Linked DNA regions of Macaca mulatta. The protein of the gene in region 2 interacts with the protein of the main gene of each other region in a pairwise test. Links are inferred from orthologs where the notes say so. Each region holds a gene or a part of one and is shown on either strand. Other genes may lie near its edges. The genes, in order: TRIM27, TCEA2, GPKOW, CCDC136, MEOX2, TRIM54 and THAP1.

What was found.
Region 1: the proteins of TCEA2 (region 2) and TRIM27 interact in binary tests that used the Homo sapiens proteins (3 or more experiments, as listed by UniProt). The two-hybrid records come from large-scale screens. The link is inferred for Macaca mulatta from reciprocal best matches to the Homo sapiens genes TCEA2 and TRIM27.
Region 3: the proteins of TCEA2 (region 2) and GPKOW interact in binary tests that used the Homo sapiens proteins (3 or more experiments, as listed by UniProt). The two-hybrid records come from large-scale screens. The link is inferred for Macaca mulatta from reciprocal best matches to the Homo sapiens genes TCEA2 and GPKOW.
Region 4: the proteins of TCEA2 (region 2) and CCDC136 interact in binary tests that used the Homo sapiens proteins (3 or more experiments, as listed by UniProt). The two-hybrid records come from large-scale screens. The link is inferred for Macaca mulatta from reciprocal best matches to the Homo sapiens genes TCEA2 and CCDC136.
Region 5: the proteins of TCEA2 (region 2) and MEOX2 interact in binary tests that used the Homo sapiens proteins (3 or more experiments, as listed by UniProt). The two-hybrid records come from large-scale screens. The link is inferred for Macaca mulatta from reciprocal best matches to the Homo sapiens genes TCEA2 and MEOX2.
Region 6: the proteins of TCEA2 (region 2) and TRIM54 interact in binary tests that used the Homo sapiens proteins (3 or more experiments, as listed by UniProt). The two-hybrid records come from large-scale screens. The link is inferred for Macaca mulatta from reciprocal best matches to the Homo sapiens genes TCEA2 and TRIM54.
Region 7: the proteins of TCEA2 (region 2) and THAP1 interact in binary tests that used the Homo sapiens proteins (3 or more experiments, as listed by UniProt). The two-hybrid records come from large-scale screens. The link is inferred for Macaca mulatta from reciprocal best matches to the Homo sapiens genes TCEA2 and THAP1.

The regions. Positions count from the first base shown.
Region 1 is NC_133409.1:154,436,893-154,440,773, forward strand, and holds the end of TRIM27 (zinc finger protein RFP), read left to right. Parts: intron 1-1,523; coding exon 1,524-2,119; 3' UTR 2,120-3,181; downstream 3,182-3,881. UniProt on the Homo sapiens protein: E3 ubiquitin-protein ligase that mediates ubiquitination of various substrates and thereby plays a role in diffent processes including proliferation, innate immunity, apoptosis, immune response or autophagy.
Region 2 is NC_133415.1:116,959,386-116,963,323, forward strand, and holds the end of TCEA2 (transcription elongation factor A protein 2), read left to right. Parts: intron 1-291; coding exon 292-422; intron 423-695; coding exon 696-752; intron 753-1,503; coding exon 1,504-1,658; intron 1,659-1,733; coding exon 1,734-1,880; intron 1,881-3,092; coding exon 3,093-3,164; intron 3,165-3,392; coding exon 3,393-3,401; 3' UTR 3,402-3,583; downstream 3,584-3,938. UniProt on the Homo sapiens protein: Necessary for efficient RNA polymerase II transcription elongation past template-encoded arresting sites.
Region 3 is NC_133426.1:49,200,922-49,204,859, forward strand, and holds part of GPKOW (G-patch domain and KOW motifs-containing protein), read right to left. Parts: intron 2,863-3,938; coding exon 2,753-2,862; intron 566-2,752; coding exon 352-565; intron 1-351. UniProt on the Homo sapiens protein: RNA-binding protein involved in pre-mRNA splicing. As a component of the minor spliceosome, involved in the splicing of U12-type introns in pre-mRNAs.
Region 4 is NC_133408.1:168,439,566-168,443,503, forward strand, and holds part of CCDC136 (coiled-coil domain-containing protein 136), read left to right. Parts: intron 1-227; coding exon 228-339; intron 340-937; coding exon 938-1,103; intron 1,104-1,339; coding exon 1,340-1,480; intron 1,481-1,815; coding exon 1,816-1,974; intron 1,975-2,266; coding exon 2,267-2,437; intron 2,438-2,929; coding exon 2,930-3,115; intron 3,116-3,938. UniProt on the Homo sapiens protein: May play a role in acrosome formation in spermatogenesis and in fertilization.
Region 5 is NC_133408.1:112,580,175-112,584,743, reverse strand, and holds the start of MEOX2 (homeobox protein MOX-2), read right to left. Parts: upstream 2,950-4,569; 5' UTR 975-2,949; coding exon 461-974; intron 1-460. UniProt on the Homo sapiens protein: Mesodermal transcription factor that plays a key role in somitogenesis and somitogenesis and limb muscle differentiation. Required during limb development for normal appendicular muscle formation and for the normal regulation of myogenic genes.
Region 6 is NC_133418.1:97,700,059-97,704,658, reverse strand, and holds the start of TRIM54 (tripartite motif-containing protein 54), read left to right. Parts: upstream 1-1,502; 5' UTR 1,503-1,781; coding exon 1,782-1,949; intron 1,950-4,600. UniProt on the Homo sapiens protein: May bind and stabilize microtubules during myotubes formation.
Region 7 is NC_133413.1:44,941,387-44,945,781, forward strand, and holds the start of THAP1 (THAP domain-containing protein 1), read right to left. Parts: upstream 3,127-4,395; 5' UTR 2,907-3,126; coding exon 2,836-2,906; intron 2,710-2,835; exon of another isoform or gene 2,556-2,709; coding exon of another isoform or gene 2,506-2,555; intron 1-2,505. UniProt on the Homo sapiens protein: DNA-binding transcription regulator that regulates endothelial cell proliferation and G1/S cell-cycle progression.

The DNA.
Region 1 (3,881 bases), on a different chromosome or scaffold from region 2:
GCTACAGGCTCGAACTCCTGGGCTCAAGTGATCCTCCTGCCTCAGCCTCCTGAGTAGCTGGAATTACAGGCACACACCACCGTGCTTGCCTAAATTTTTACTTTTATGTTTTGTAGAGACAGGGTCTCACTATGTTGCCCAGGCTAGTCTCAAACTCCTGTATGCAAGCGATCCTCTTGCCTTAGCTTCCCAAAGTGCTGAGATTAACAGGCATGAGTCACACACCCAGCCCATTATCAGTGTTTTTGAAGCAGGAAAACACTTGATGATAGCAAGATGCTGTAATACTAAATGCCAGAGGAGATGACATGGATCATACATAGTTTCAGATTTCAGAACAGGAAGAGTGTAATGGCCTGGGCAGATTAAGAAAAACTTGGAGGATGTGTGTCTTGCAGTGGACATTAGAAGAAGATGAATAGAGCTTTGATGTGCAGAGTAAAGATCTTATAGAATGGATAAAAGAGTGATTTGGGCTGGGTGTAGTGACTCACACCTGTAGTCCTAACACTTTGGGAGGCTGAAATGGGAAGACTGCTTGAGCCCGGAAGATGAAGTCTGCAGTGAGCCATGATTATGCCACTGTACTAGTCTGGGTGACAGAGTGAGACCTCATCTCAAAAAATACAGTAAAAAATAATTGTAAAAGAGTGATTTAAAAGGTAAGCATACTGATACAGGTTCCCAGTCCTTTACCCACAGTTCTAAAATCCCCAATCTCTGAAAGCCACAACCTTTTTCATTATTTTGTAGGAAATTACAGTATCAAAACGTGAATTTATGTGGTGCTGTTTAGAGTCTATCCTTCATTATGTAAACATTCGTGGATCTCATAGCAGATCTATTAATATTTCATTATAGAATGCTGCGCCAGACCCTACCTGTCTAAAACCTGTAATATTCTGAATTCTGTGAAACTTTGGGCCCCTGAAGTTTTCAGAATAAGGGATGATGAGCATGTAAGAAAACCTCAATTCAGTGTATCTGCCAGGCACAGTGGCTCATGCCTGAAATCCCCATTGCTTTGGGAAGTTGAGGTGGGAGGATTGCTTGAGGCCAAGAGTTCAAGACCATCCTGGGCAACAGTAAGACCTCGTCTCTACAAAAAATTTTTTAAAATTAGGGTGGTAGTGCACACCTATAGTCCCAGCTACTTGGGAGTCTTAGGCGGGAGAATCACCTGAGCCCAGGAGTTTGGGGTTACAATGAACTATGACCACACCACTGCGCTCCAGCCTGGGCAACAGGACCCTATCTCTTAAAATCGGTTCATAATGGATATTGTGGCTTCAGATGTGAAAGAAAAGATATGGGGCTAAAATTCAGTATTTTCAGTGTATTCTGGTAACCAGCTAATCCAAGCAGTAATTTTTGAAATGTGAAGTTTAGAATATATTCTAAATAAAATACGTGCAACCTCTAGTGGCAAACTCTCATTCGTGGGGAGGTAGTAGAAAGGCACTGAGTGTTCTAGAATAGGCTCTCCTGGCCCGTGGCTGACTCTCTTCTTTGTGTCTCTGCAGTGGACGTGACTCTGGACCCAGACACGGCCTACCCCAGCCTGATCCTCTCTGACAATCTGCGGCAAGTGCGGTACAGTTACCTCCAACAGGACCTGCCTGACAACCCCGAGCGGTTCAATCTGTTTCCCTGTGTCTTGGGCTCTCCATGCTTCATCGCTGGGAGACATTATTGGGAGGTAGAGGTGGGAGATAAAGCCAAGTGGACCATAGGTGTCTGTGAAGACTCAGTGTGCAGAAAAGGTGGAGTAACCTCAGCCCCCCAGAATGGATTCTGGGCAGTGTCTTTGTGGTATGGGAAAGAATATTGGGCTCTTACCTCCCCGATGACTGCCCTCCCCCTGCGGACCCCGCTTCAGCGGGTGGGGATTTTCTTGGACTATGATGCTGGCGAGGTCTCCTTCTACAACGTGACAGAGAGGTGTCACACTTTCACTTTCTCTCATGCTACCTTTTGTGGGCCTGTCCGGCCCTACTTCAGTCTGAGTTACTCGGGAGGGAAAAGCGCAGCTCCTCTGATCATCTGCCCCATGAGTGGGATAGATGGGTTTTCTGGCCATGTTGGGAATCATGGTCATTCCATGGAGACCTCCCCTTGAGGAGGTGGATTCAGGCCAAAAGGGCTGTTGGCTGTAATCCTATGCCAGGCACAAGGCATCTTGTTGCCTTGCCACGTCCTGTCACAGCTGGGTATACTTACCATGTTCCATGCCCTTGCAGTGGGAGACAGGATGTCCATGTTCTCTACCATCCTTTTCCTTCCCGTGCAGATTGTGAAATGTAATGAGATGTATCAAGATATCCTAGAAATAAAAACCAGATGTCCACCTCCAGTGTTTCACACTTTCTGGTTTTACACATTGCTGGAGGGATAAAGAGTATGGATAATCTTTGGATTTGGAGAGCCATTCCAGATACTTCCACCTTCTTGGCTCAGCCTGGCTTCCTCTGGTTCAGCCCCACATAATGATTATGGCTGTTTGCTGTCATTTCTGGGTTAGGGCTCCTTTCTAACAACCTAGACTGGAACAAGGCCCTGTCAGCATGGCTCCGTTATCCCAGTTTTTCCATCTGGGAACAGTACCTCTGCCCCTGATTCCCAATCTGCCATAGTTTTATTAACTCCATTAAAGAGGCCTGTATGTGTTTTGGTTAGTTACAGTTATTTTACAATAATGGTGGGTAATGGCCCCACCTCTGTTATGAGATAATGTTCTAATCAATGTCTCTGCCTTTGTATCTTTTCTGAGGGTTTTGTCTGCTCCCTTCATTCTAATGAAAGGTGTATTCTAGTGCTGGGCGCATATCATCCAGGATAATATTCTGCCCAACTCCATCCTCTGTTACTAGATCCCTTACCAGTCACATTTGTGGACTGGTGGTCAGTGGTATACCATCCCTGGAAGGATTCTGAGACAATATTCCAGGGATTCATTGACTTCTTGGCTCCTTTTCTCCATTTCCTTTGGGGGATAGGGGAATTGACCATTCTTAAGTGCATACTGTCAAGGGGCAGCTCCACCCCCATGGCCATTGGATCATGAGACACTCTGAAGTCAGAAGGCTGGGGCAGATCACTTCAAGCAAGCCCCCATGATGGTTCTCAGTCCTGCTTCTCTTTGGGTACATGCCCCTCTGTTTAAAAATAAAGTGAATATGGATGTTTACATTGTTGTTGCTTTCTGGGTGTTGGTAGGATTGGGTTCAGATGTTGGAATGGGTGTGGGGAGGAAATGGTTAATGGTGTTGCTTTCCCATATGGGTCCCAAAATCCCACTCTGGCCAATAGTTTACTTCAAACTGGAAAATAAAACTACTTTCTCCGTATGATATCACTACTTTCTAGAGGTGCTAAGAAAGTAGTGTTGGACATTCATAGCCTACAGTTCTTATATTGATTAACCCTGTAATTTTACTAGGAAAGTATTTTCTCAAGTCCTTTTTGTAGTATTGTGCCAGGCATTGGGGTTCCATGGCTGAGGTTCATGAGTTGGTGATATCATGTCCTAATTCTTCATTTACTCATCAGGTTTTAAGGGAGCTATAGAAAGTAGCTTCCATGAGGCTAGGTTAGCTTTTGCTGAATATTCTGAGATCTAAATGTATGCAGTTATATATATATATATACACACACACACACACACACACACACACGTACATAAATACTACTAACAAACATAGAGCAGTGCTTGGAACATCATATGAAGAACTTTATGCACAATAACTTACTTAATGCTCATGATAACTTTATCAAGTATGTACTATTGCCTTTACAGATAAACTGCAGCAGAGGGGGTAAATGACTTACCCAGGGTATACAGCTAGGAAGCAGCAGAGCCAGGATTCAAACTGGGATGGAAC
Region 2 (3,938 bases):
CACTGGAGATGCTGCCCAGATGCGGACTGCTGGGTCTGGGATCCTGTTCCCACCTGGGGAACATCCTGACCCACTGGGGACCTCACGGCCCATTCCCTCCTGGCTGCTGGGCACACCCCATGGACATCTGGGCTCAAGATAGGCAGGGCCACTGGCCACTGTTGGACTCTGGCAGAGTGGAGCAAGCAGGGTTTGGGGGGGATTATGCTGTGGCACCTGCTGCTTCTGGGATCAGTGTCTTGCTGGGGTACAGCCTCGAGTCTGAGTCTAGCTGGCCCTGGCTCTCTGCAGCCGCAAGAGGCCGGAGCTGCCCAGGGCACCGTCGACTCCAAGGATCACCACATTTCCTCCGGTGCCTGTCACCTGTGATGCCGTACGCAACAAGTGCCGCGAGATGCTGACTGCTGCCCTGCAGACGGCCCGTGAGTGCGGCCGGCCCTGGCTCCTGACACCCGCTGGGATTCTCAGGGCGGCCCAGGCCCCTGCCTGCCCGAGGAGGCCTGCTTCTAGAGGGGCGACTCTCCTCCCCCAGCCCATTGCTGCGGCCCTGGCAGCGGCGTGGGGCCTGTGCCTGGATCGTGGGCCTCTTCCAGGGACACGGATGTCCCCGCTAAGCTGCCAGGGTGATTTGCAGGCAGAAGGGGTGGCAGGTGGAGAAACCAGTGGGGGCAGCTAGTCAGGGCTCCCTCTTGCAGACGACCACGTGGCCATCGGTGCGGACTGCCAGCGCCTGTCGGCTCAGATCGAGGAATATATCCTTTGGGCAGGGCTATGGGTCTGGGTTTCTGGTGGAGTCAGGAGGCTGCCTGGCCTGGTGGCCTCTGGTGGCTGCTGGATGCCACTGCCCAGCTGTCCAGGGGTCACCTGCCTGGGGGGTCACCTGCCTGGGGGGGTCACCTGCCTGGGGGGTCACCTGCCTGGGGGGTCAGCTGCCTGGGGGGTCACCTGCCTGGGGGGTCAGCTGCCTGGGGAGGGGGTCACCTGCCTGGGGGGGGTCACCTGCCTGGGGGGTCACCTGCCTGGGGGGGTCACCTGCCTGGGGGGTCAGCTGCCTGGGGGGGGGTCACCTGCCTGGGGGGGGTCACCTGCCTGGGGGGTCACCTGCCTGGGGGGGGTCACCTGCCTGGGGGGTCACCTGCCTGGGGGGGGGTCACCTGCCTGGGGGGTCACCTGCCAGGGGGGTCAGCTGCCTGGGGGGTCAGCTGCCTGGGGGGGGTCACCTGCCTGGGTAGTCAGGTTGTCTCGCTCCAGGAGGCCCCCAGACCAGCTGAGAGGCTGATTCTGCCTGCTGGTGGGGCCTAGGTTCCCTGGGGCTGTAGCCTGAAGCTGGGTCTCAGTCAGGAATGGGCCTGTGGCAGGCTCGGCCCTGCAGCCCTTCACCTGTCCACCAAGTGTGGCTGGGCAGAACCTTTCCAGCCAGCACCCCAGCATGGCCCCCAGCGGGGCAGGTGGTAGGTGGAGGGCAGCGACGTTGTCCTCGGGTGGGTCCTTAAACACTTGCACGCATCTTCCGGGACGTTGGAAACACAGACATGAAGTACAAGAACCGTGTGCGGAGTCGTATCTCCAACCTGAAGGATGCCAGGAACCCTGACCTGCGGCGGAACGTGCTGTGTGGGGCCATAACCCCCCAGCAGATTGCCGTGATGACCTCAGAGGTGAGCCCCTGTTGGAGGGGCTGGAGGGCTGCTCCCCTCGGAGTGGTGGGCTAAGCCACTGGCCCCGTGCTCCAGGAGATGGCCAGTGATGAGCTGAAGGAGATCCGTAAGGCCATGACCAAGGAGGCCATCCGAGAGCACCAGATGGCCCGTACTGGCGGCACGCAGACAGACCTGTTCACCTGCGGCAAGTGCAGAAAGAAGAACTGCACCTACACGCAGGTGAGCGGCCGCTGGGCACCTCCCCCGGGCCCAGTGTCTTCAGGCCATCCCGTGCCCCTCCTAGGAGCCCATACCTGTTCCCGCCTCTGCTGTGAGTTTTCCGAGCCTCTCTGTCCCTGACTAGGCTAAGGCATGATGGCCACCTTCAGGGACCACTCCCCTCTACCCAGGACCCTGGGCCCCAGGAGGCAGCGTCTTGGGTGGTGGGGTCCACTTGTTCCAGGTGCTCAAGTCGGAGGGCCCGGCCCGCCCAGCCCAGCTGCACGGAGGGCCCTCGAGGTTGATGCTGGTGGGAGGGCCGTGGCGCCTGCTGCCTGGCAGTGACCGCAGGACTCTCAGTCCCTGCCATGGAGGTGGACACTGAGTGTGCCGGGGAGACTGTGGATCCCATGAGATGGCAGGGACCCTGTTAAGAGGGGAGTGCGGCTGGGCACGGTGGCTCATGTCTGTAATCCCAGCACTTTTGGAGGCCGAGGCAGGTGGATCATGAGGTCAGGAGTTCGAAACCAGCCTGACCAACATGGTGAAACCCCGTCTCTACTAAAAATACAAAAATTAGCCGGGGGTGATGGCACACGCCTGTAATCCCAGCTACTCAGGAGGCTGAGGCAGGAGAGTCATTTGAACCCGGTAGGTGGAGGTTGCACAGTGAGCCAAGATCACGCCACTGCACTCCAGCCTGGGCAACAGAGCAAGACTCTGTCTCAAAAAAAAAAAAGGGGGGGAGTGTGTTGAGGCGGCCGTTGCGCCTGGCAGATGGGACTCGTGAGGGGCTGCAAGGACAGCCCTTCCTTCCCCTCAAAGGCTGCATGGGGCCTGGGTCTGTGCAGAGCCTGCCTCTCTCCTGCTCCCAGCCTCTGGTCGGAACAGGCTCTGCCTGTGGCCTGAGGCTCACCCTTGGGCCTTCCAGAAGGCAGCCACGGGCACTGGGGACCCCCGCTAGTTCCCCCCACCATTGGGACCCTACTGCCTAGCCAAGTCTGGGCCCTGCTGGTCCCCAGCCAATGTGAGCTGCTTCAAGCCCACGCAAGGGCCTCTGCCCCAATAGACACTGTCTCCCTCCCGGGAGGCTCAGCTCTGGAAGGTTGGAGTCACAAGGTGGCCTCAGATCAGGTCACCTATGGGAGCTCAGCGGCTGCAAGGCCAGCTCTGCCCATTTGAGGGGACACTCCCTGTAGCAGAGCATGGAGGCTCACCCAGCCCTCCTTACAGGTGCAGACCCGCAGCTCTGATGAACCCATGACCACCTTTGTTGTCTGCAACGAGTGTGGAAACCGCTGGAAGGTGGGTGAGCGGGCTCAGGCTGCCCCTTCCAGCTCCATTCTCTGGAGGTGGGGTGTGTCAGCCTCTGTGGGGTCTGTGGTGTGAACTGGGGATGGCCCTGCCCAGCCAGCCTCCTGGAGTCTTGGGCATGGTGGGCGGAGACTGCAGCCTTGGGTGAGCCTGTGCGGCCTTCTCTCTGGGGAGTCTCATGTGGCCACAAGGCTGGAGGCCTCACCCCCTTTTTCGCAGTTCTGCTGAGCCCTCGTGTAGATGTGCTGCAGCCTTGGGCCGTGGCCAGTGCTGGCCTCCCCCGCCCACGTCCTCCGTTGATACAGCTTCTCTGGAGACCCTAGAAGGCGGCATGTCCTGCCCTCAACCTGCCTGCCTGGATTGCACCTTTCTGCCCTTTCCCCCTCGTTATTAAATGTTTCTTTTTGCCATCTCGTTCTCCTCAGCTGTTACTCCTGGTGGCCCGTCCCCATGTTTGACCTGTTCGCGCTGCTGTGGACACGGCCCCTCCCTGAGGTCAGGCAGTGCTTGGTGGGCCCTGGTGGCTCAGCCCCAGGAGAGGAGCTTGGCTGACCTTCAGAGATCACCTGGGGTGGCTGCCTGTGCGGCAGGTGGGGAGAGGGTCTTGCGTGCGTGCTGACAGCCTGTCGTCCTGTGCAGGGCACATGTCCTGCCGTGCCTCGGGCATGGGCAGCTTGGGACCCGGGTCCTGGCACTTCAGGACAGCTTGTCCCCATGCTGCCGTCTCTGTTATTGTGGGAGTTGTGGTCTCAGGGCCCTGAGCCA
Region 3 (3,938 bases), on a different chromosome or scaffold from region 2:
TAAGAGGCCTGCTTCCTCTGTCTCCCCAACCAGACTCTGATCCCTAAGAAGTGGGACTAGGTCTGGTTCCTGTGTCTCCCTCAACTGACTGTGGGGCTTCCTTGGATCCTTTAAGCATTTAATCCTCAGGGACTTGTGGCATATGGCACTCTCTTCCTTTTAGCTGGGAACTGAGGCTCACAAAGGCCAGCAAGTGGTCCCGGGTTACTGAGTGAGGCAGTGGGCCAAGCAGACCTAAAAGACTAGGACTCCCAGCCTTTCTACCTCAAACCCAATTATTCCTCCATCTGACCCTCGGATCAACCTTCCCTACTGCCTGTTTTGGGCTCCCGGGATATCTTGGTTCCTTACCTTCCCATAGAGGCCTCGGTGAGGGCCAGAAAGAACCACCACAGCTCCTCCTGGCACCAGCCCTTGAGGCTGATCTTCCTTATCCTTCTCTTGCTCCTCATCTGGCCTTGGCATGTGGGAGGGGCCGGTGGGGGTCAAGGCCTGGGCCTCAGACAGGTTGGCACCCAGCCCTAACCCCTTGGGCCTCAGTGAGTTGACACGGGGCTTCACTACTCTGCAGGGAGAACATGGGTTTGTTGGAGAGGATGCAATAGTCTTCAACACCTTATTTACCTCCTCTCCCTGCCCAAACCCCCACCCCCACCATTGACATTTTCTTTTCTTTTCTTTTTTTTTTTTGGAGACGGAGTTTTGCTCTTGCCATCCAGGGTGGAGTACAATGGCTCAATCTCGGCTCAATGCAACCTCCGCCTCCTGGGTTCAAGCGACTCTCCTGCCTCAGCCTCCCAAGTTGCTGGGGTTTACAGGAGCATGCCACCATGCCTGGCTAATTTTGTATTTTTAGTAGAGACAGGGTTTCACCATGTTGGTCAGGCTGGTCTCGAACTCCTGACCTCAGCTGATCCGCCCTCTTTGGCCTCCCATAGTGCTAGGATTACAGGTGTGAGTCACCATGTCTGGCCCCCATCGGTATTTTCAAGGTTGCCCTTTCCGATCTCATATTAGGACTGTTTTTGACCTACAGAAACAGCAATTTCATTTGGTTCGACCTAATAACATGCTGCATATACCATCTATTACATAATATCTACAGTGAGATCAGAGGCAGATCACTGTAACCAAATATACTATTTCTACAGGGGAAATCATATGAATATTCACACCAAGCAGGAGAAACGGACTATAAAAACTCAACATGGTTGGGCACGGTGGCTCATGCCTGTAATCCCAGCACTTTGGGAGACTGAGGTTGGCAGATCACCTAAGGTCAGGAGTTCAAGACCAGCCTGGCCAACATGGGGAAACCTCATCTCTTCTAAACATACAAAAATTAACCAGGCGTGCTGGTGCATTCCTGTAATCTCAGCTACTCAGGAGGCTGAGGCAGGAGAATCACTTGAACTCAGGAGGTAGAGGTTGCAGCGAGCTGAGACTGCACCACTGCATCCCAGCCTGGGTGACAGACAGAGACTCCATCTCAAAAAAAAAAAAAAAAAAAAACTCAACGCCAATTCAGGTCATAGTTGGCTGCCAATGGGTTATGAAAAAAATGTTTGGTTTTCACAATTCTTGAGTTTGCAATTGCGAAGAAAGGGTTGTAAGTCTGCATGACAATAGCAAATGTTTAGTCTACGCTTTCTTGGGGTCAGGGCCTACTGTATGTGCTTTACGTATATAGTTTATCTTTTTTGTTTTTTTTTTTTTGAGATGGCGTGTCACTCTGTCGCCCAGGCTGGAGTGCAGTGGTGCGATTTCGGTTCACTACAAGCTCCACCTCCTGGGTTCACGCCATTCTCCTGCCTCAGCCTCCTGAGTAGCTGGGACTACAGGCGCCCGCCACCATGCCCGGCTAATTTTTTGTATTTTTTTTTTAGTAGAGATGGGCTTTCACCGTGTTAGCCAGGATGGTCTTGATCTCCAGACCTTGTGATCCACCCGCCTCAGCCTCCCAAAGTGCTGGGATTACAGGCACAAGGCACTGCGCCTGGCTCTAATTTCTTTCTTTTTTTTTTTGAGACGGAGTCTCGCTCTGTAGCCCAGGCTGGAGAGCAGTGGCCGGATCTCAGCTCACTGCAAGCTCCGCCTCCCGGGTTTACGCCATTCTCCTGCCTCAGCCTCCGGAGTAGCTGGGACTACAGGCGCCCGCCACCTTGCCCGGCTAGTTTTTTGTATTTTTTAGTAGAGACGGGGTTTCACCCTGTTAGCCAGGATGGTCTCAATCTCCTGACCTCGTGATCCGCCCTTGTCGGCCTCCCAAAGTGCTGGGATTACAGGCTTGATCCACCGCGCCCGGCCTAATTTCTTTTCTTAAAATGAATTAATCTTTTGTAGAGATGGGGCCTCCCTATGTTGCCCAGGCCAGTCTCAAACTCCTGGGGTTAAGTGATCCTCCTGCCTCAGTCTCCCAAAATGCTGGGATTACAGGCATGAGCCACTACCTGGCCTATGTGTATAATTTCATTTAACTCTCACAACAGACCTGTGAAGTCAGTACTATTACCCCCATTTTTCAGATGAAGAAATTGATGTCCCTAGAGGCAGACTTTATATAAATGGGATCCTATTAGAGTTTCAAAGGGCAAATGGGAGTTTAAAACAGTAGTGGAAGGGGCTACTGAATTAGTTAGGGCGATAATGTATCCTCCCTCCCTGCCTGGAGTGGTTCTGGTTTGGCAGTGACCCTGGGGATCTTGATTGCAGCCTGATCTGTCTGTCCCCTCGCCCCTATCCCAGAACTCACTGATTGAAGGTGCGGCCGATGCCCTCGCCAGGTTTCCAGCCCATGCCCCGCAGCATGGCCAGCCCATAGGCCTCCACGGGGACCGCCTCATAATTAGCCTCCTCTGGCACCTACAGGTTCAGGTAGAGGAAGGAGGGTCAGGCTTTGCTTACACTGGGTCCTCTGTTTGAAGTGCACTTGCTGCCACCCACTGGGAGACCTGCTACGCATCTTTTCCAATCAGCTCAAGGGTGTTTTGATTTCCTCTTTCCATCCCTCACTGTACTCCTCCATGTTCAGTCCTTCAACAAATAGAAAGCACCTAGTCTATGGCAAGTACTGTTCTAGGTACTGGGGATGAAGCTGTGAACCAAACAGACAAAAACCCCTACCCTTGCAGAGCTTCTGATCTAGTTGTGGAGACATACTATAAATAAAACCCAGAAAACATGATATGTCAGGTGGTGACGTATAGAACAAGAAAGCAGGGTAAGAAGATGCAGAGGGATGGAGAGGGAGTGCCTCTGGGTTGACATTTAAGCAGAGATCAGGAAATGATAGCAGAGGGAGCCATGAGGATATGAGAAGAAAGTGTCCCGAGCTGAAAGCACAGTTACAGCAAAGGCCCTGAGGCTGGACAAGGCTTGGTATGTGTGAGGGGTAAAAGTCACCATGACTGAAATGGAGATAGTGAGAGTAGAGAGCAGAGAAGGGTGGGGAAGAGATCAAATCAGGAGAGCTGGGCAGGAGTCAGAGGACCCTGAGCCAGGTGGGAGCCATAAGAGGGACCAGTGAGGAAATTACTCTAATAGTCCAGATGAGAGATGCTCGTGGCGGTGAGAAGTGGTCAGTTCTGGGTGTCATTTTGAAAAAAGATGAAGGATTGTGCTGGCAGAGTGTATGGGGCATGAAATAAAGAGGGGAATTGAGGATGACTCCAAGGTTTTCTTTTTTTTTTTTTTTTTTCTTGAGATGAAGTCTTGCTCTGTTGCCCAGGCTGGAGTGCAGTTGCACAATCTCAGCTCACTGCTACATCAGTCTCCTGGTTTCAAGCGATTCTCCTGCCTCAGCCTCCTGAGTAGCTGTGATTACAGACATGTTCCACCATGCCCAGCTAATTTTTGTAATTTTACTAGCGATGGGGTTTCGCCATGTTGGTTAGGCTGGTCTTGAACTCCTGATCTCAGGTGATCCGCCCACCTCAGCC
Region 4 (3,938 bases), on a different chromosome or scaffold from region 2:
CAGGGCAGATGAGAAGAAGGACAGCTATCGGGAAGAGGAGCAAGACTCACTGCACTGTGGAATTTCCTGGGCCCTGTCTTCTAAGCCTCTATCTCTCTTTTCTGTCTTTAGAAAAAGAGAAGCTCTTTAGCCTTCTGCTCTCATGTTTCAAAACAGGAAAACTGGGGGCTGGTCATCAGTGCTTTCCTTTCCTCCTGGTCTCATCTCTCTCTGCTTGTCCTCTGCAGAAGAACTGCAGGAGCTGCGGGAACGCTACCATTTCCTGAATGAGGAATACCGGGCCCTGCAGGAGAGCAACAGCAGCCTCACTGGGCAGCTTGCAGATCTGGAGAGTGAGAGGTACAGCTGTCTCTGGAGAGTGAGAGGTCATGGGGTTCCACAGGACTCTGTCTTGCCTTGGGCTTTCCCCTGAAGGCAGATGCCAGGGCAGTGAGCGTTCCTCTGCTCCTGGAGACCCAGTCCTTTCCATGGTTTCCAAAGAATACAGATACCATCTACAAGCAGACATGGGGATCCGACCCAGTTATCTCAAGACTAGAGGGAGTGAGTTCTGAAGTTTACTTTTGCTCTAGGCACTGGGTTCTGGTTTGCTCTGCCCTGAAGTAGATCAGAAGAGATTCGTTTATTGTCCGCATAGACTTGTTTCAGTCTAATGGCAGGCACAATGCTTCCAGATTGGAGTGGGCTTGACTAGGCCTAGCCTGAAAACTAACTGGACTGGCATTCTAAGGGTCTCCCAGAGTCAAACACACCTTTGCAGATTGAGGTGCTGGAGACTTTCCATAGTCTTCTAAGCATGTTTATCTGAGCGGTGAGTCACAATAGAAGGCCCCTTACTATCTTTGGCCTAAAATGAAGGCATCAGGACCAAGCATGCATGGCTGGTGTTGCCAGGCAGAACTCCCTTCAAGCACAGCTCTGGGGTTCTGGATTGCAGGACACAGAGAGCAACAGAGAGATGGCTGGAGTCCCAAACACTAAGTATGACGTCGGCAGAGTCTCAGACTTCGGAAATGGATTTCTTAGAGCCTGATCCTGAAATGCAGCTGTTACGGCAGCAGCTACGGGATGCTGAAGAGCAGATGCATGGCATGAAGAACAAGGTAGGGCACAGAGGGTGGGGAGGGCAGGCACGTTTCTTGTCTTTCTTTCACCTTCTCCCAGCCTGTAGTAGAAACATCTCCACAGGCATGCACTGTGACGGGAGACAGTATTCTGGGGTCTTGCTTGCCTGATGTAAATCTTCCAGTCAAAGAATGCCATACTTTCCCCAAGCTTGTTCTTGGAGCACATGTGGTATCTGTAGTAAACAAGCCTCCCTGTTCCATTTCCTGCATAGTGTCAGGAATTGTGTTGTGAGTTGGAAGAGCTACAGCATCATCGCCAGGTCAGTGAGGAGGAGCAGAGGCGGCTGCAGAGGGAGCTCAAGTGTGCTCAGAATGAGGTGCTTCGGTTTCAGACCTCCCACAGTGTCACTCAGGTAAAGACTGCCCAGGGAGTCATCTGGGGTGGGGGCAGAAGGGCCTCATGGAGGGGCTGCTTCAACCAGGGTGGGCACAGTGAGTATGGCTGTGCTCTGCTGACTCTTGCCCTGCAACTGGGCACAGTCTGCTGGAAACCAACTGTAGAAGTCATATAGCACTGCATTCTAGAAATGGTGGTCATTACTGAGTGTCTGTCTCACAGAAGAAACCAAACCCTAGACCTGTGGGAGCTCCTCAAGATGTCTGCATCTGAAAAGGAACCCAACTGATCCGTAAAAAGATCTGCTGTTTCTCCAGAGTAACTGTTCTACTCACATCCTCCCTACCACAGAATGAGGAGCTGAAGTCCAGACTCTGTACCCTGCAGAAAAAATATGATACTAGCCAGGATGAGCAGAACGAGCTCTTGAAGATGCAGCTGCAACTTCAGGCTGAGCTCCGGCAGCTCAAAGTCATGAAATCCACACTTGTAGAAAAGCAGAGTGAGAAGGTAACAGCAACCAGAGGTGAGGGGACAACTTAGGTGCTAAGGGCATCCTTCTGAGGTTTTGGGAAAGGTGGATCAGAGTAGTGAGTTAAAAATAATTCCAGCAACCACATAGACAGCACCACAGGTAAAGAACTCCAGCCCTGCTCGAGTACTACATTAGATATGAGGACATTAGGAAGTGAAGGGCAGGGAGAAGCAAATCTTAGACTGTCGGTGTCTTCAAGTGACTCACACAGAAGAGTGAGTGGGTTAAGGAGCCCAGAGGCACTGCCCAAAGCCCCCTCTACCATAGGAGTTACTGTGCCGGCTGCAGAAGCTGCAGCTCCAGCACCAGAACGTCACATGTGAGAAGGAAAAGCTGCTGGAACGGCAGCAGCAGCTGCAGGAGGAGCTGCAGTGCCATGAGGCGGAGCTGCAGCACCTCAGGGATACGGTGGCCTCCTTCAAAGAGAGCAGTGAGAAGGTAAAAGAAGCTCCTGGTGAGGGAGGATGTAGCCTCATCTTGTGTGGGGGTGAGAGTGCAGAGGAGGAGAGGGAATGGTAGGAGTGTGGAGGAGCTGGCAGTGAGGGGGCCAAAGAGGTGCTTAGGAGAAAGGTAACCTCAGGGAGTCACAAGGCTCTCATCTTCCTTTGATTTTAAATCAGAAAAGCAGCATATAAAAAGGAAGTCCCTTTCCCTCCCTACCTCCCAAAAAAGGAAGCCCCAGAAGATCTGTGTTTCTTTTTAAATTATTTTTATATTTATTTATTTATTTAACTGGAGAGGCTACACTGGGAAGGTCTGTGTTTCAAGCCTGTCAGGGACGGGTCCATCTTGGGTATATATCCCAGGCTGGGATGAAATTGGGGCTGAGAAGGACAAAGGAAGATGGGTCCCCTTAGTCCCTGCCTGGGAGGAGAGAGTTCAGCAGCAGGAGTGCCTGGGGTGATGGCCAGGCCTGCCTCCCCTGCCCAGAACACAGAGACGCACGCTCAGCTTCAGGAGATGAAGCAGCTGTACCAGGCCAGCAAGGACGAGCTGGAGCGGCAGAAGCACATGTATGACCAGCTGGAGCAGGACCTCCTGCTCTGCCAGCTGGAGTTGAAAGAGCTCAAGGCCTCCCAGCCCAGTCCGGAGGACAAAGGAAAGTGTGCTAACAAGGTAATTGTTGTTCAGAGAGGTGACAGCTCCTGGGCACTGGCTCCAGAGAGAGGAGGTACAGAGGCAAAAGATGAAGGCACCCAATCGAAGGGCTTGATGGGCTTCCTAGGCAGGAAGCAGAGGCAGGGCCACATGCTGCTAACTACAGAACCGTTTGCCCTGACCTTGACTTTGAGCCGGAGCCACAGCTCAGTAGGATCAATACCTTTGGATCCCAGTCTGAACCCCTGAAGGTTTTACACATGATTCCATGTATGTAGACAATGGAATATAGAGTGCTGACTAGGCAAGAGAAGGACCTAGGCTTTTTCAGGATTTATTCTGTGACTTTGAAGTAGTTAAATTCTTTGTTGTTGTTGTTGTTGTTGAAACAGAGTCTCACTCTGTCACCCAGGCTGGCGTGCAGTGACACGATCTCAGCTCACTGCAGCCTCTGCCTCCTGGTTTCAAGCGATTTTCCTGTCTCAGCCTCCCGAGTAGCTGGGACTACAGGCACATGCCACCGCGCCTGGCTAATTTTTGTATTTTTAGTTGAGACGAGGTTTCACCATGTTGGTCAGGCTGGTCTCGAACTCCTGACCTCAGGTAATCCACCTGCCTCGGCCTCCCAAGCTTCGATGACAGGCATGAGCTGCCATGCCCTGCCAGTAATTAAATTGTTGAAGGTTGAATTGTGCCCTCTTTAAATGGAAGAGAATTCTACTCTTATCTCACTTCCTTTTAGTAGTAAATCCTGATAGTGATAAATAAGGGCTTATTCATTTTTTTTCTTTTCCATAGTGTATAAAATGCAAGCCGTTATCATTTATCCTGTTGAGCACTT
Region 5 (4,569 bases), on a different chromosome or scaffold from region 2:
ATGATTTGGAAATCCAGTTAACGATGGGAAAAATCGAGCCACTCACAGTCGGGAACTTGCAAGAGAAAAGTCAAGAAGCGGCACCCGCACGCACGCCTGCCCAACCGACGCTGCATCTCTGGGCGCACGCCCCTCCCTCCCCAGCGCTGGGATGGAAGGTCACGCTTCGCAATCGATTTCACAGCCACTTGTCCTTTTTTATCAACCTTCTGGTAAACTAGTTTAGGACCTTGGAGAGCTTAGAGCTGCTGGCTGTATATGCATTGCTCTCGGATAAACACGTGTCCCCCAAATATCAGGACCAAAGCTTCACCGCCGAATTTGGCCGCGGGAAGCCACAAAGGGCAACACATTCCCATATTCCCCGCTGCCACCCTGTAGTGCGAGAATCTCCCCTGGCATCTCTCCGCCCCCTTTCCAGGCCGGCGCGCACTCTCGAGGGTGCCTGGTGAGCCCTTACCTGAGCTGTCGCTTTTCCTCTTGCCACCGCTTCGCTTCTCCGCCTCCGCAGGTGACAGTGCCTGGCGGCCGTAGTCCCCCGGCGCGCACGCGGCCCCAGTCGGGGTGCTGGAGCCCAAGCTGGAAGAGTTGGAACACAGGACCGGAGGGCTGCTCCCCAACTCTGGGGGCCCTCCGGAGTCGGGCTGGAGGCAGAGGCTGTGTCGAGCCGCACTCGGTGGGGAAGACATCTGCGGGAGGTGCCAGTTGGTTTGCAGAGCCTGGTGCTGCTGCTGCTGATGATGGTGATGGTGGTGGTGGTGGTGGTGGTGGTGCCCCCTGTGATGCTGGCTGGCAAACATGCCTTCTTCGTTGGGGTATCCCGCGATTATGCAAGATGAGGAAGAAGTAGAGAGCTCGGGGTAAGACATATGGTCAGATCTTCCATGGAGGGCGAGAGAAGATTGGGAGAACGGGTGCAAGCCTTGCGCCGTGGCGTGAGGGCTGCGCAGGCAGCCAAAGAGCGGGTGTTCCATAGCATGCAAGTTTCAGGTTCCAGGCAGAAGACTTCAGGACGGTTCCAAAGGCCACCACCCTCTGTCACTTTTCACTGGAAACTGTATGATTTTTTTTTTACCCTCCCAAAGCAATAGCCGTGCACTTCTGCAGAGCTCGGATAATCCCGGTTCTGAGCCCCAGCGGCCAGTCTCCTTTGCATATGAACAGTCGGACCTGGAAGAGCTTCCCTGAACTACTCAGATGTCAAGAGTGGGAGAGGTTGAAGCCAAAAGAAGGTGGTCCCAGAGAACTGCTTTCAGGGGGAAATGGCTCTGAGAGGTTATAAATAGAGTGTAACGTGAGCTGGGGGCCGGCTTAGGAGCCCAGAGTTGACCACATGCAAACTCCCTCCAAAACTCCCGCTCAGTTTGCGCCACGCGCTCCCCAGTTCCACTTCCTATCGCCTGCTGGACAGACGCAGAGCGTCCACGCCCGCCCAGCACTGCCGGCTGCCAGGGCTACAAGCGGCACGCCAGTGCCTAAGTCCCGCCCGGGAGGGCAGCAGCTCTGCCCTCCAGACTCTGGAGGCCTGGGCGCGGCGCACACCACCCCCAACCCAGCACCCTGATTCCTACCTACTCACTTTCCTCTCCGGGAAACGTGATTTGTCAGTGTCATTTGTGAACTGTCACCTGCAGAAAAGCTAGGGATATGCCTAGCCTTTCAGGAACCCAAAAGAAGTAATAGGGTTAAACGAAAAGATCAGAGCTAGTTAGGCGCATCCTCGAAGTTTTTCAAACTTCGCATCTTCCAGTGCCCTGGGCGCCGCAGCGCGCCTAGGTTTTCACAGCTGGTTTCTGTGGGTGGATTGTTAATGGGCTGGGACGCCAGATCTGAGGTTGTGGGGATGAGTACCATGGCCTGGAAAAGGCAGTTCTCAGTGCGGAACCAAGAGGGACCCGGTAGGGTGGGTGGGAGGAAGGCGTGAGTCTGAAAGGGTTGCAGATGCCTGTTCCCTGGCATCCTCTTGTGCGATGCCAGGTGGAGTCTCCCTTCCCCCTCTTTCCTGGTCCCGCTCAATTTCCTAGCCACTTGTCCACCAAGAAGAAATTTTCCTGGGTCAAAAATATTTCCAGGCGATTTTGTCCCGGTCACATGAGATGTGTAGATTGCACGCACATATCTAGCCTTTCCCCTCAGGAGCTAGCCTAGGTCTCCGCAGTTTCCTACAGAAATCCACTCTCTTCCGCTCAAAAATAAATCCGCTAATCGCATCCCTTATCACCACCGTCCCATTTACTGAGAAATCTTACATTTCGATAGCTCCCAAAATTCACTAAGCTTGGGCACTTGGCTATAACTTTGCATCCCTGAAAATAAATTAGAAAATTTGCCTCCAGTAAGCATGCAAGAACGATGGCAGGGCTTTGAGACTGCCACTTGTTTGGCGGGTGACAGGGTCCGCTGGGGGCAGAGTCGTTTACACACAAGTGAGTGGCTCTGTAATGAGCAGGAGAAACAGTCAAGTCCCATCTGGGACCTGTCGCATCAGGAGAATATCTGTAGTCACCTATTCCGCCCGGGGCCCCAAATGCACCACCAGCAGTGTCGCCCCGTTATTTTCATTGTCTCAGGTGTCCAGAGGATGATGAGCAGGTCTTTGAAGTTGTTAGTGGGATTAATGGGTACAGCAAACTGGGCTAGACATCTGGTTTGAATTAGGAAAAAGTATTGATTAATCTTTGAGAGGTGTCCCCAAAGCAGAACCTTCCCCCTCCTCTTCCAGTCCCCCTGCTTAAGCCTCACTATCTTCTTTTCTTGTAAGTCATGCTGTAGAATAGTGGCTTCTCAAAAACATCCGTGTGAAAGATCGAATTGTTTTCTATTGCTTAGAGGTGGGGTGGAGTGGGGGTTGATCAGGAATTCTGAGATTTGTAAGCGCTGCTTTCTTTAACGGAAATTGAGCTCTATTTTGAGGGAAATTAGTTTTGCAGACTTCGTTTAAAAAAAAAAAAAAAACTAAAACTTTTGTTCACCAGCTGCTCAGCTTTTCAGTCTGGGTCTGAGCTGAAACCTGCTGCAAGTCTTTGACGGTAAGAATTTCTTTGCCGATACTTTGGGAATCTAATATTGTTTTAGACTTCGAAAGGGGGTGTTGTTCAGGTTGCACGTTTCTAGGGGCTTTAAGCACTAGCAGGATGGCGTCCAGGACTTAGATCTTAAGAATATTTCTTCCTGCCACTCCCCACGCCCTTGGCTCTTTAAGAATAAAAAGAGGTGGGGGAGTTATAGTCCTCTAATATCGTCGGAATATTTTTTGTATTTTCATTGTGTTTATGGTTTCAATATGTGCTCTGATATTAAAAGTTAAAGTACAAAGAGCAACACTAAACTTCCCCAACTTGTGTAGCTTCTCTATGGATTCTAGGTGAAAGCATTAAAGGCTTTATTTAAAGTGAGATTTAGGCAACCACCTCAATAAGCCTAACCAGAAATATTTACATAATACAATGCTGTCAACTAAAGCATTGTGGAAAATGTCAGACAAGACAGACTAAAATTACACATGATCTGCAGACATCAGTCCAAAACATCCACAATGGTCCTTTTGGTTTGCATTACATTGGTTTAGAGGAAGCTAAGCAATTACCAAATGAATGGATTTGAATTTAACCAGAGTGTTGCAGGTAACTAGCAACAAGAACACACAAATCTTTCATCTCCCAGAGCTGCCACTTCTTCTTAAACCTGCCCAGTGACTGTGCTGGATTTTTTCTCACTCATTGTGTCAGATGTTAACAATCTGTCCAGAAGTTTCTCTACAACCTGCCCCAGTCAGTCAGGCTCTAGAACTTTTTCTAGAAGAAAAATTTAGGAAAGGTTAGAAAAGGAGGAAGTCATTGCAAAGGCATGCAATGAAAGCAAAGGTAGTAAGACAGGTCTTTTTAATTGGAGACACAAAACATTTAATATCAACAAAAATTATGAAGTCCAGTTTTCTTATAGAAAACACAACATAAGGAAAATATTTGAAAGGAAAAAAATGAAGGACTAAAAAGGAGGTCTTGGTAAATTCCAGAATTAAATAGGACTTTAATTTTCTCTGGATTTCTAAATATGTATTAATCATTACATAAAGATTTTTAAATATTAATTTATTCAAATATTTGGAATAAGATAGAATATTGAATTTTATGTTCTAGGTTTTAGAGAAATTTTTAAAATGTAGTAAAAACAGGAAAAAAAAATCCTTAGCTTTCCTATAACAGCTACTTCAGTGTTCACATCCATAAAATCCAATATTGAGAAGATGCCTCTTTATTTAATGATATCAAGAATGGTAAAAATTATAAAGTTTATCATAAAATTTATATAAACAATCATTTAAAACTATATATGACATAGTATTTATCTAATATTTGCAATATACTTGAGTTTTCCTGAAGAAAAGTTATATTAATGCCAATATTTCATGGAAGGTTTCAATATCCAGTAACACATTATAAAGAGGTTGATTATGTGAAAAGGTAAGCTACCTAGCTCTTGTAGGCTCCACAACTATAATGATTTTAAATGTAGGCTAGGTTCTTTAAACTTGATGAGTGTGTATATCTATTGCTTCTTTGGCTTAAA
Region 6 (4,600 bases), on a different chromosome or scaffold from region 2:
TCACCTTCTGGTGCCCACGGCCATTGGCATTGCCAGCCTCATTCCATGCCACTATGAGTCAACTCAGGAAAACTGCGAGTGCATTTGAGGCTTAGGGGTAGTCATTCCATCTTTAGATTCTCCTTGGACTTCAGCTACCAGAACAGCATGCATTAGCCTTGGTCCTGTGGGTTAACTGAAGTTCAGACATCAGTGCCAGCTTGCCTCCATCCTTTTCACATCTTATGCAGGCCAATTGACATATAATTTGTTCTCAAAAATAGGGGCATGAAATATGTGATCCGGAGAAGATTGCACTTTCTGGACTCTTTTCCCACTCTTGCCTCTTTGTGCTGCTGTTTCGTATCCTCCTCACACCGTGTATTTCCTACCCACTCAGGGTCACTACCTACTAACTCCTCAGACTTCTCTTCCTGGACTGGGAGAAGGGCTAAAGAATGGCGGTAAATAAAAGAGCTTTTGTCCAATCCCAAGGCATATTTTGGACCCAGAAAAGACAAATTGTGTCTGGGGTGGAGGAAAAAGGCCTAAAGAAATTGCTTCTTGGCTTTTTGGCTAATATCAAGTGGAGAAAAAGACCTGTAGGAGAAAAAGAAGACCAGTGCTCACAACTGGGGCGAGCCTGGCTTGGAGAGGAGGAGTCCTGGACAACTGTGGAGCTGGGGCAGAGGCTTCCTGGAGCCTTATGATTATGACTTTGTCAGTGCTCTAAAATTTCCCTGGAGGTTGATTCCCTGGGTGCCCAAAATAGGTCCCTGGCATTCATGTCCTTTCTGCCCAGCTCACCTTCTCCCAATTTCCTAACAAATTTGAAGTCCTTGGAGTGGCTCCAGGGATGTGTTCACGAACCAGAATCCCACATTTCCTCGGGCGCATGCTCATAGGTAGGTCCAGGCCTTGGCACAATACTCATTTCTAGCCTCTTGAGCTTCATTTCCTAGGGTGATATAAGAAAAGGCAGGCAAGAACAAAAATGAGCCAGAGGTATTGGACAGGAGGCTTGATGGAGTCTCTGGAGCTGCTGTTCTGAATCACACAGTCTTGAGGAGGAGGACCAGGGTCACTGGCTGAGCCTGTGGAGGAGGCAACTGCTACTGACTCTAAGTCTGGCAAGATCTTTCCTCCCACCCTGAGCTATGTATGGGTGCTTCTCACACAGGCAGATTTAGATTCTGTGTCACTGTCCTGGAAGAAGGGCCCAAGCCAGAGCAGGGGTCCTGGGCTCAGAGGAGCCTTCAGAGTGAGAGGGCAGCACCTTTGCTGACCCACCTTTCACCGTAAGCAGTGGTGCTTGCCCCTGCCCTTGCTCAGGGGAGTCACCCATTCCTGAGTGAGTCAGGGTCACTCACTCCGTGACAGCTGTGGCTCGCCTTACATGAGCTAAATTGGGAATTGGAATGTCATGCAGATGCCCCTTGTCTCCCCACCCCCACAGTAAAATTAATCTCCTCTCTGGGGAGTAAGGGACAAACAGTGCTACCCACAGAGTGAACAAGAGAGAGTCATTTGGGAAACAAAAGGAGGACTTTACAGAGAGAGAGGGATAGCTAAAACTACGTGAGCCTGCCGAGGGTGCAGAGCAGAAAGTGGAGACAGAAGTGTCTGAAGACTGCTATCTGGGACGAGACAAGTTGTTAAAGGGACAGGAGAGAGAGCAGAGCTATTTCAAGAGTGAGCCACAGAAGGGAATCCACAGGCCGTCTGAGTGAGGAAGGGTCTACAGACAGTGAGTGAAGGCCAGGAGCAGGACCCAAGCCAGGGTAGGCACAACCACCGAGGGGATGAACTTCACCGTGGGTTTCAAGCCGCTGCTAGGGGATGCACACAGCATGGACAACCTGGAGAAGCAGCTCATCTGCCCCATCTGCCTGGAGATGTTCTCCAAACCAGTGGTGATCCTGCCCTGCCAACACAACCTGTGCCGCAAGTGTGCCAACGACGTCTTCCAGGTGGGCGCCAGGGATGGGGCAGGGCCAGGTAAAGCAATGCAGACCTGTGGGGGACTGATCAGGTCAGAGCTAAGACCCCAGAAAGTGATGGATAGAGTGCTCTCTGAGGTAGGTGGTGGCTGTTGTGGCTGGAGAGCAGAAGGGCTGGGGTCCAAGCAAATCCCAGAGCAAGCATGAGTCAGCAGCTGCCCTGCAGGCTGGCAGGTACAGCCTGTCCATAGACGGCAGCTGGAGTGCTGGGATCTGCTGAGGAAAGGAGACCCTGTGGAAACTGGGAGGGAGGGGATCCTACACCGGTCTTTTAAGAGCCTGTGCCAGACTCTGCATTCCAGTTTGGAGTTTCACACTTTGAGAGCATTGCGGAAAATACGGAGAAAAGATTAATGAGATAATGAAACATTAAAAAACAAACAGAAAAAACCCAACCCTGTGAGAAAGCTCCATAATGGCAGTAAAACGATTCGTGTTTAAGGAAAGTTCAGGGCATCCGTTGTGGGGGACAGAGTTAGACGCAGTGGGCAGGAGACTGGGAACTCTTCCCCAACTTGAGTTCATACCTGTTACCTCCAGATTGTTGAGTAAAGAGGCCTACTGGTTCAAAGCTATTGAGGTCACTTGACAAGCAGAGAGAAGGCAAAGAAATTTACTTTTAGAAGTCTAGCCAGTTTTGGTTTATTTGTGGTCATGGAGCCAAGCATAGCTAATCAAATTCACAGATACCATTTTAGCCACTGGTTTAGAAATAAAAGCTGCATATACCAGAATGGATTATAAGTGGGCTTTTTTTTCTTTTCCTGTGCTACCGGGGAGGTTCTAGTAGGCTATGAAATGGAACAGAGATCAGGGAGAGTGAGGGGCAAAGGCACACACACACACGCGGCCTTGCCGATTAAGCAAAAGCCCTGAATGTGGCCGGGCGTGGTGGCTCACGCCTGTAATCCCAGCACTTTGGGAGGCGAGGCCGGCGGATCACGAGGTCAGGAGTTCGAGACCGGCCTGGCCAATATGGTGAAACCCCATCTCTACCAAAAATACAAAAATTAGCTAGGCGTGGTGGCAGGCGCCTGTAGTCCCAGCTCCTCAGGAGGCTGAGGCAGGAGAATCACTTGAACCCAGGAGGCGGAGGTTGCCATGAGTCGAGATCATGCCATTGTACTCTGACCTGGGTGACAGAGCAAGACTCTGTCTCAAAAACACAAAAACAAACCCTGAATAGACCAGAGCTGGCTTAGTATGTGTGTCAGTGATACGGAACATCCCAAACAAGTATTCTTCAGTGTCAGAAATGATGAGGAAATGTGTTAAACACAAGGGATTTTTAACCTAACCAAGAAAATACTTCCCTCTTAAGTTCCTCGGGGCAGCTTGTTTGGGAAAGGAATGGACTGGCTAGGTCCCGCCATCCCACGATGTACCCTGTGACCCGCCCCTTGTATGTCTGCTGTGTGTCATCTTCACTGAAGACCAGCACTCTGTGGTCTCTCCTGCCATCTTCCCATTGAGGCCCATTCCCTCTCCTATTCTTTTATGTGTCCAAACCTGCCATTATTCAGCTCCAGAGTATCTCAGAGGCAGTAGATTTTCCGTCTCGGGGGACCCAGACCAAATGCTATGCCTCCTCATCCTGTGCATGAAGTCCTGCATGAGAGGCAATGCTTTGCCCACCATCTTGGTGTTTCCTTGGTCTGAGGAATTCCGAACATCCTTCAGGCTGAGATGCCTAGGAGGAAATGGCGGAAAGATTTTGCCATCATTTCTCATGAACTGACAGTGAAACATCCTCTCACTGGAACTTGAAATGCGTGAAAACAAAGAGAAGTTTTGAAAGTTAAGGTGACGTGTCCTATAGAAAAGTGGTCAGAATGTCCAAGAGCATTCCTGGGTGCCTCTGTCGTCTGGCAGAGGGGCCCAGGAGCAGTCCCCATACATGGAGGCTAGAATGTGTTCAAGTGACATGCTTGTTTAAGTCAACCCTTTCTACCCAAGCACACTGTTTCAGTTCCAGAAAGCTCTGGAATACTGATCTGGGCTCAGAGAGACCTTGGAATGGCTTGGGGCAAACCCTGTACAGAATATTTGGAGATAACGTGATACCCAGGGCTTTGGGGTGGCCCTGTGGGTCTGGAGTGATGTGTGTCGTTTGAGGTGCAGAGCAGCCCTGGCCCCTCCAAGGAGGAAGAGTGAAGAGCTCATCCCTTGCTGCTTATTTGGGAGGGCCTGGTGGGAGGCTGACCCAGTTCTTCAGCTGCACTCAAGTCTGTATATCTCAATATATCTCAGTAGATCTCCCTCGGAAAGATGAGCAGATTTAGTTTTTTCACACATTGCCTCCACATTTTGACAACTGTAGGCATAATCAGATTGTCTGTTTTCTAAGTATGGGGCAAGAATAGGACTTTTGGAAAGAATAGGACTTTTCCTCTATCTTCAAACCACTTAGGAAGAATACCCTTAGAGTGTTGCCTAGAAAGTTAACGGTTATCAAAGCGATACCAGTATATCATTTAGAATTTGTAACATGTAAACATACTGTTTTCAAGCAGTGTAGGGGTTCATATCATGAAAAGCAAATCTGCTATTCACCTCAGACCCTCAACTGTCTTCACCAGATAGAAGCAACTATTACCAACTTTCTTGGGAATACTTCCAGA
Region 7 (4,395 bases), on a different chromosome or scaffold from region 2:
TCAGTCTGACAAATACGAACAGGCTAAATTTGAATTAAAGGCAGATAATAATGAAAGAAAAGTATTTATTTTCTAATCAACTGGGATGTCCATTAGGCCCAGGTAAACGGGGATAGTGAGAGTTTAAATTTATTGTGGTTTTACTCTTCCAAATTAAGGATTTGGTAAACTGGGGGGATTAGAAAAAAAAACAAAGGAAGGGGGTTTTGAATTTACGTTTCACAGTTTTCTCTTCCATGTACAATATGCTAGAGCCTGACTCTGCTAGTAAGAGATCTTTATGACAGTCCCTTTTCTTTGTACAACATAGCACTCTCTGCTGCCACTATGCAGACGGTGGGATAAGTGGTACTCCTAGAAAATCTCAGCTGGGGCTGGGCGTGGCCTGTAATCACAACTGTAATCCCAGCACTTTGGGAGGCCGAGACGGGCGGATCACGAGGTCAGGAGATCGAGACCATCCTGGCGAACACGGTGAAACCCCGTCTCTACTAAAAAATACAAAAAACTAGCCGGGCGAGGCGGCGGGCGCCTGTAGTCCCAGCTACTCGGGAGGCTGAGGCAGGAGAATGGCGTAAACCCGGGGGGCGGAGCTTGCAGTGAGCTGAGATCCGGCCACTGCACTCTAGCCCAGGCGACAGAGCCAGACTCCGTCTCAAAAAAAAAAAAAAAAAAAAAAAAATTAGCTGGGCGTGGTGTTGCGCGCCTGTAGTCCCAGCTACTCAGAAGGCTGAGGCGAATCGCTTGAACCGGGGAGGCAGAGGTTGCAGTGAGTCGAGATCGTGCCACTGCACTCCAGCCTGGTGACAGAGCAAGACTCCATCTCAAAAAGAGAAGAAGAAAATCTCAGCTGGAAATGGCCTCTATACGTATAAACTAGGGTGGCATTTGCTGGTAAAATTCCGTACCTATGGCCTCCTGGCTCTGTAAGCATAAACTATGGTAGCATTTGCTGCTAAAATTCAGTCAGTACCTAGGGCCTCCTGGCACAAGGACCACAAATTTACAGCTGTTTGTGAGATTCTGTTAAAATCTTTCCCATCTACTCTCCCTAAACCTGCTCTTTTAGATAAGGGATAAGATGCAGGTTAGCTCTTCTTTTGATTCAATCCGTATGTGTTTAACACCTAGCAGAAACAGTTATTTCTCTCTTTTTTTTTTTTTTTTGACATGGAGTCTGGCTCTGTTACCCAAGCTGGAGTGCAGGGCAAGATCTCAGCTCACTGCAACCTCCATATCCCAGGTTCAAGCGATTCCCCTACCTCAGCCTCCCAGGTAGCTAGGATTACAGGCGTACGCCTGTATTTTGTATTTTTAGTAGAGACGGGATTTTGCCATGTTGGCCAGGCTGGTCTTGAATCCTGACGTCAGGTGATCTGCCCACCTAGGCCTCCCTAAGTGCTGAGAATTACAGGCATGAGCCACTGTGCCTGGCCAAAAACACAGTTATTTCTGACGTGTGAATACCCTCCTTAAACTTGTTTCCAGTGCCAGTGAAACATTTTCCATAATTTTAGATTCCTTCTGCCATGCCATCAGAAATGTGGGTGGGGAGCTGCACATGTAATCCTGTTACCATCACCTGACCTTTTCCTACATTTCGAAAGAACATGTTTACAGAAATTCCAATTAAATTAAGAGACAATATTAGGATATCCTGAACTGAATCCTGTAAGTGTTCTACCCCCTTCGCCAAGGGGTAACATCATTACTCTGGAGACCTATGTTCTACACTCTCTTATTTCTATAGGGTCCATCTCACATGATATCAAACACTTAAAAAATGCATGGACACTCCCCTAGTAAACATAGATGGCTCCACACCAAAATAAAAAAATTGAAAGGATATTTAACATTTTGCTTTTGTAATTACCTAATTATAAAAGATAATTAGCTAATTACCTATGACTAATTTGTATAGTTTACCCCTGGATCTGATTTCTTAGCTATCATCTGCATATAGTTGTCAGGAATTCTTACAAAGAAAACTTAACATAAATGTAATTAAAATTTGTAAACAAATTCAGCTGAATGTTATGTCACATTTTACAAGCGTTTGATTATCATAAGTAATTGCAACTTTGCACTTTTTTTCCTATTTTCAAGAGAATATTTTTGATCCTAGCACTCTTAACTGTGCTACCTATTGGATAAGACAGCTCTGAAAGCTGTGGGGCAGTTTCTTTCGAAAGAGCTTCCTCTATGCACAGGTAATGCCGTAATAAATAAAGATCAGTGTGAGTCATTTTATTATGATCCATGTTGTAACTATCCATATTATCATTATTGTGTGCTGAAAAGATAACGATTTATCTTGGCAGTACCTGAAGCTTTCTTCAAAACTCAGGGTCCTTAAAGCTTAGTTCCTAGAGATTTGGGGCAAAAATTCTCCGGGATTTCCCAGCCAAAAAACCCTTAATTGCTACGATGCTGGCCTCCCATCCACGACAAGGGAAAGGCCTTTGTTTATATTTCAAATTTACCCCTAAGACGTTATTACAACACCTGGCTGCTCGTGACCCTGGTGGCGGCAAAACCCGCGCCACCATAGGCATCGCCCGCGGGCTCCAAACTCGTCAACCGAGGCCTGGAGCGAAGCCTGCAACGAGGACCTGTTCCGAGAGCGCAAGAAACAACCGCCGCGGAGACGCGCGCCGAGAACGCGCGATCGGGCGACGGTTCCCAGCAGGACGCGGCGGGAAACGCCTCGCGCGGCCGGCCCCAGACCCCACCCGCCCCTCGCGCGGACACGCGCCTGGCTCCGCCCCCGGCCCCGCCGGTCGCGCGCCCCCACCCTGGCTAAGACCGGCCCCGCGAGGCGCGCAGGGTCCTCACTTGTGGAAAGAAACGGGCTTGTCCTTGTCGTAGCGGTTCTTGCAGCCGTAGGCGGAGCAGGACTGCACCATCCTTCCGGTCTTCAGGCACTTCACTTCTGCCGCCGCAGAAGGCAGGGGAAGCTGCTTTCAGTGTCGCCGCGCTCGGTTGGACACCCTCGCTCTTTTGTAGCTTTGGCCAACAGTTACAGTAATGGTGGCCTCCCTCTGGGGTGACTAGTGTGCCCGTTTTGTTGTTTGCATTAGCAGAAGGACCACAGCCATCGCCCGTCTCCCATCTCCAAGATGGCGGAGGCAGCTTCAACCTCACCTCTCGCGAGGGGTGCGTCCCACTGTCTCTGATTAGCCCCGAGGTCAGAGGTAACGATTCCTGGGAAGCTAACTATTGGCTGAGGCCAGGTGTTTCCGGCGGTGGCTTCAGAGTTGCGGAAGTGGGCGGAGCCCTGAACTTCCGGTAGGCAGGAAGGAACAGCTTGCGGGGGAGGAGGCGCGGCGGGAGGCTGGATTCCAGGGGCATCATCCAGCCCGGGCTGTTCCCGTGGGTTAATTGATGCGGAGCTTTTCTGGGGCGGCTTACAGTAGGAAACAACTAGGGCCTCATGGAGAACAGGTGTAAAGCCGAGGTCGTTGTCTGATTGCGCCCATTTCTCTAAAAGGGCGGACACAGATGGTGTATGATTAATAAAATTGTGGAACCTTTTCCCAGAATGCTGATCTTTTTCCCATTACCTGTGTCTTCAGGCATCACAAGTCTCTGAGAGCCAACGTGACAGGTTTTTAGCAATGAAAAAAGACACACTCGCCAAATCATCTGAATTGCCAACGCAGAAGCATTATATATATGTATATATGTATGCATATATACGTGTGTGTGTATATATATATATGTAATTTTTTAAAAAAATAGAGGCAGGATCTCCCCACGTTGCCCAGGCCAGTCTAGAACTCGAGCTGAAGGGATCCACCTATCTCGACCTCCCAGTGGGTTGGGATTACGGGAGTTGAGCCACCAGGCCCTCCCTCCCCAGAAGCTTTTGTGAAGGGCTGTCCATTGCTGTGATTTCCATGTGCGGTGTTGCAAATAGGGAGCTGCTGCAGCAGTTTTCACATCTGAGAGAGAATATGTCAGAGGGGTTCGAAATAGAGCGACTCTGTGTTGAGTGAGGGCTAGGAAAATGAGGCTGGGACTTGCTGGGCTGCATTCCCGGAAAGTTAGGTGTTCCTAGCCTCTAGATGTATACCATTAAGGCAACAGATTGATAATGTTTACTAAACAGACCCAGACTTCGAAGTGTCCAGATATCTCGATATTTTGAGAACAGAAGCATTCCTAATTTTGCTTTAAAGATAATAATGGACTGGGCACAGTGCCTCACGCCTGTAATCCGAGCACTTTGGAAGGCTGAGGCGGGCGGATCACTTGAGGTCAGGAGTTTAAGACTAGCCTGGCTAACATGGTGAAACCCGTCTCTACTAAAAATACAAAAATTAACCGGGTGTGGTTGGCACATGCCTCGAATCTCAGCTACTCTGGAGGCTGAGGCAGGAGAATCGCTTGAAT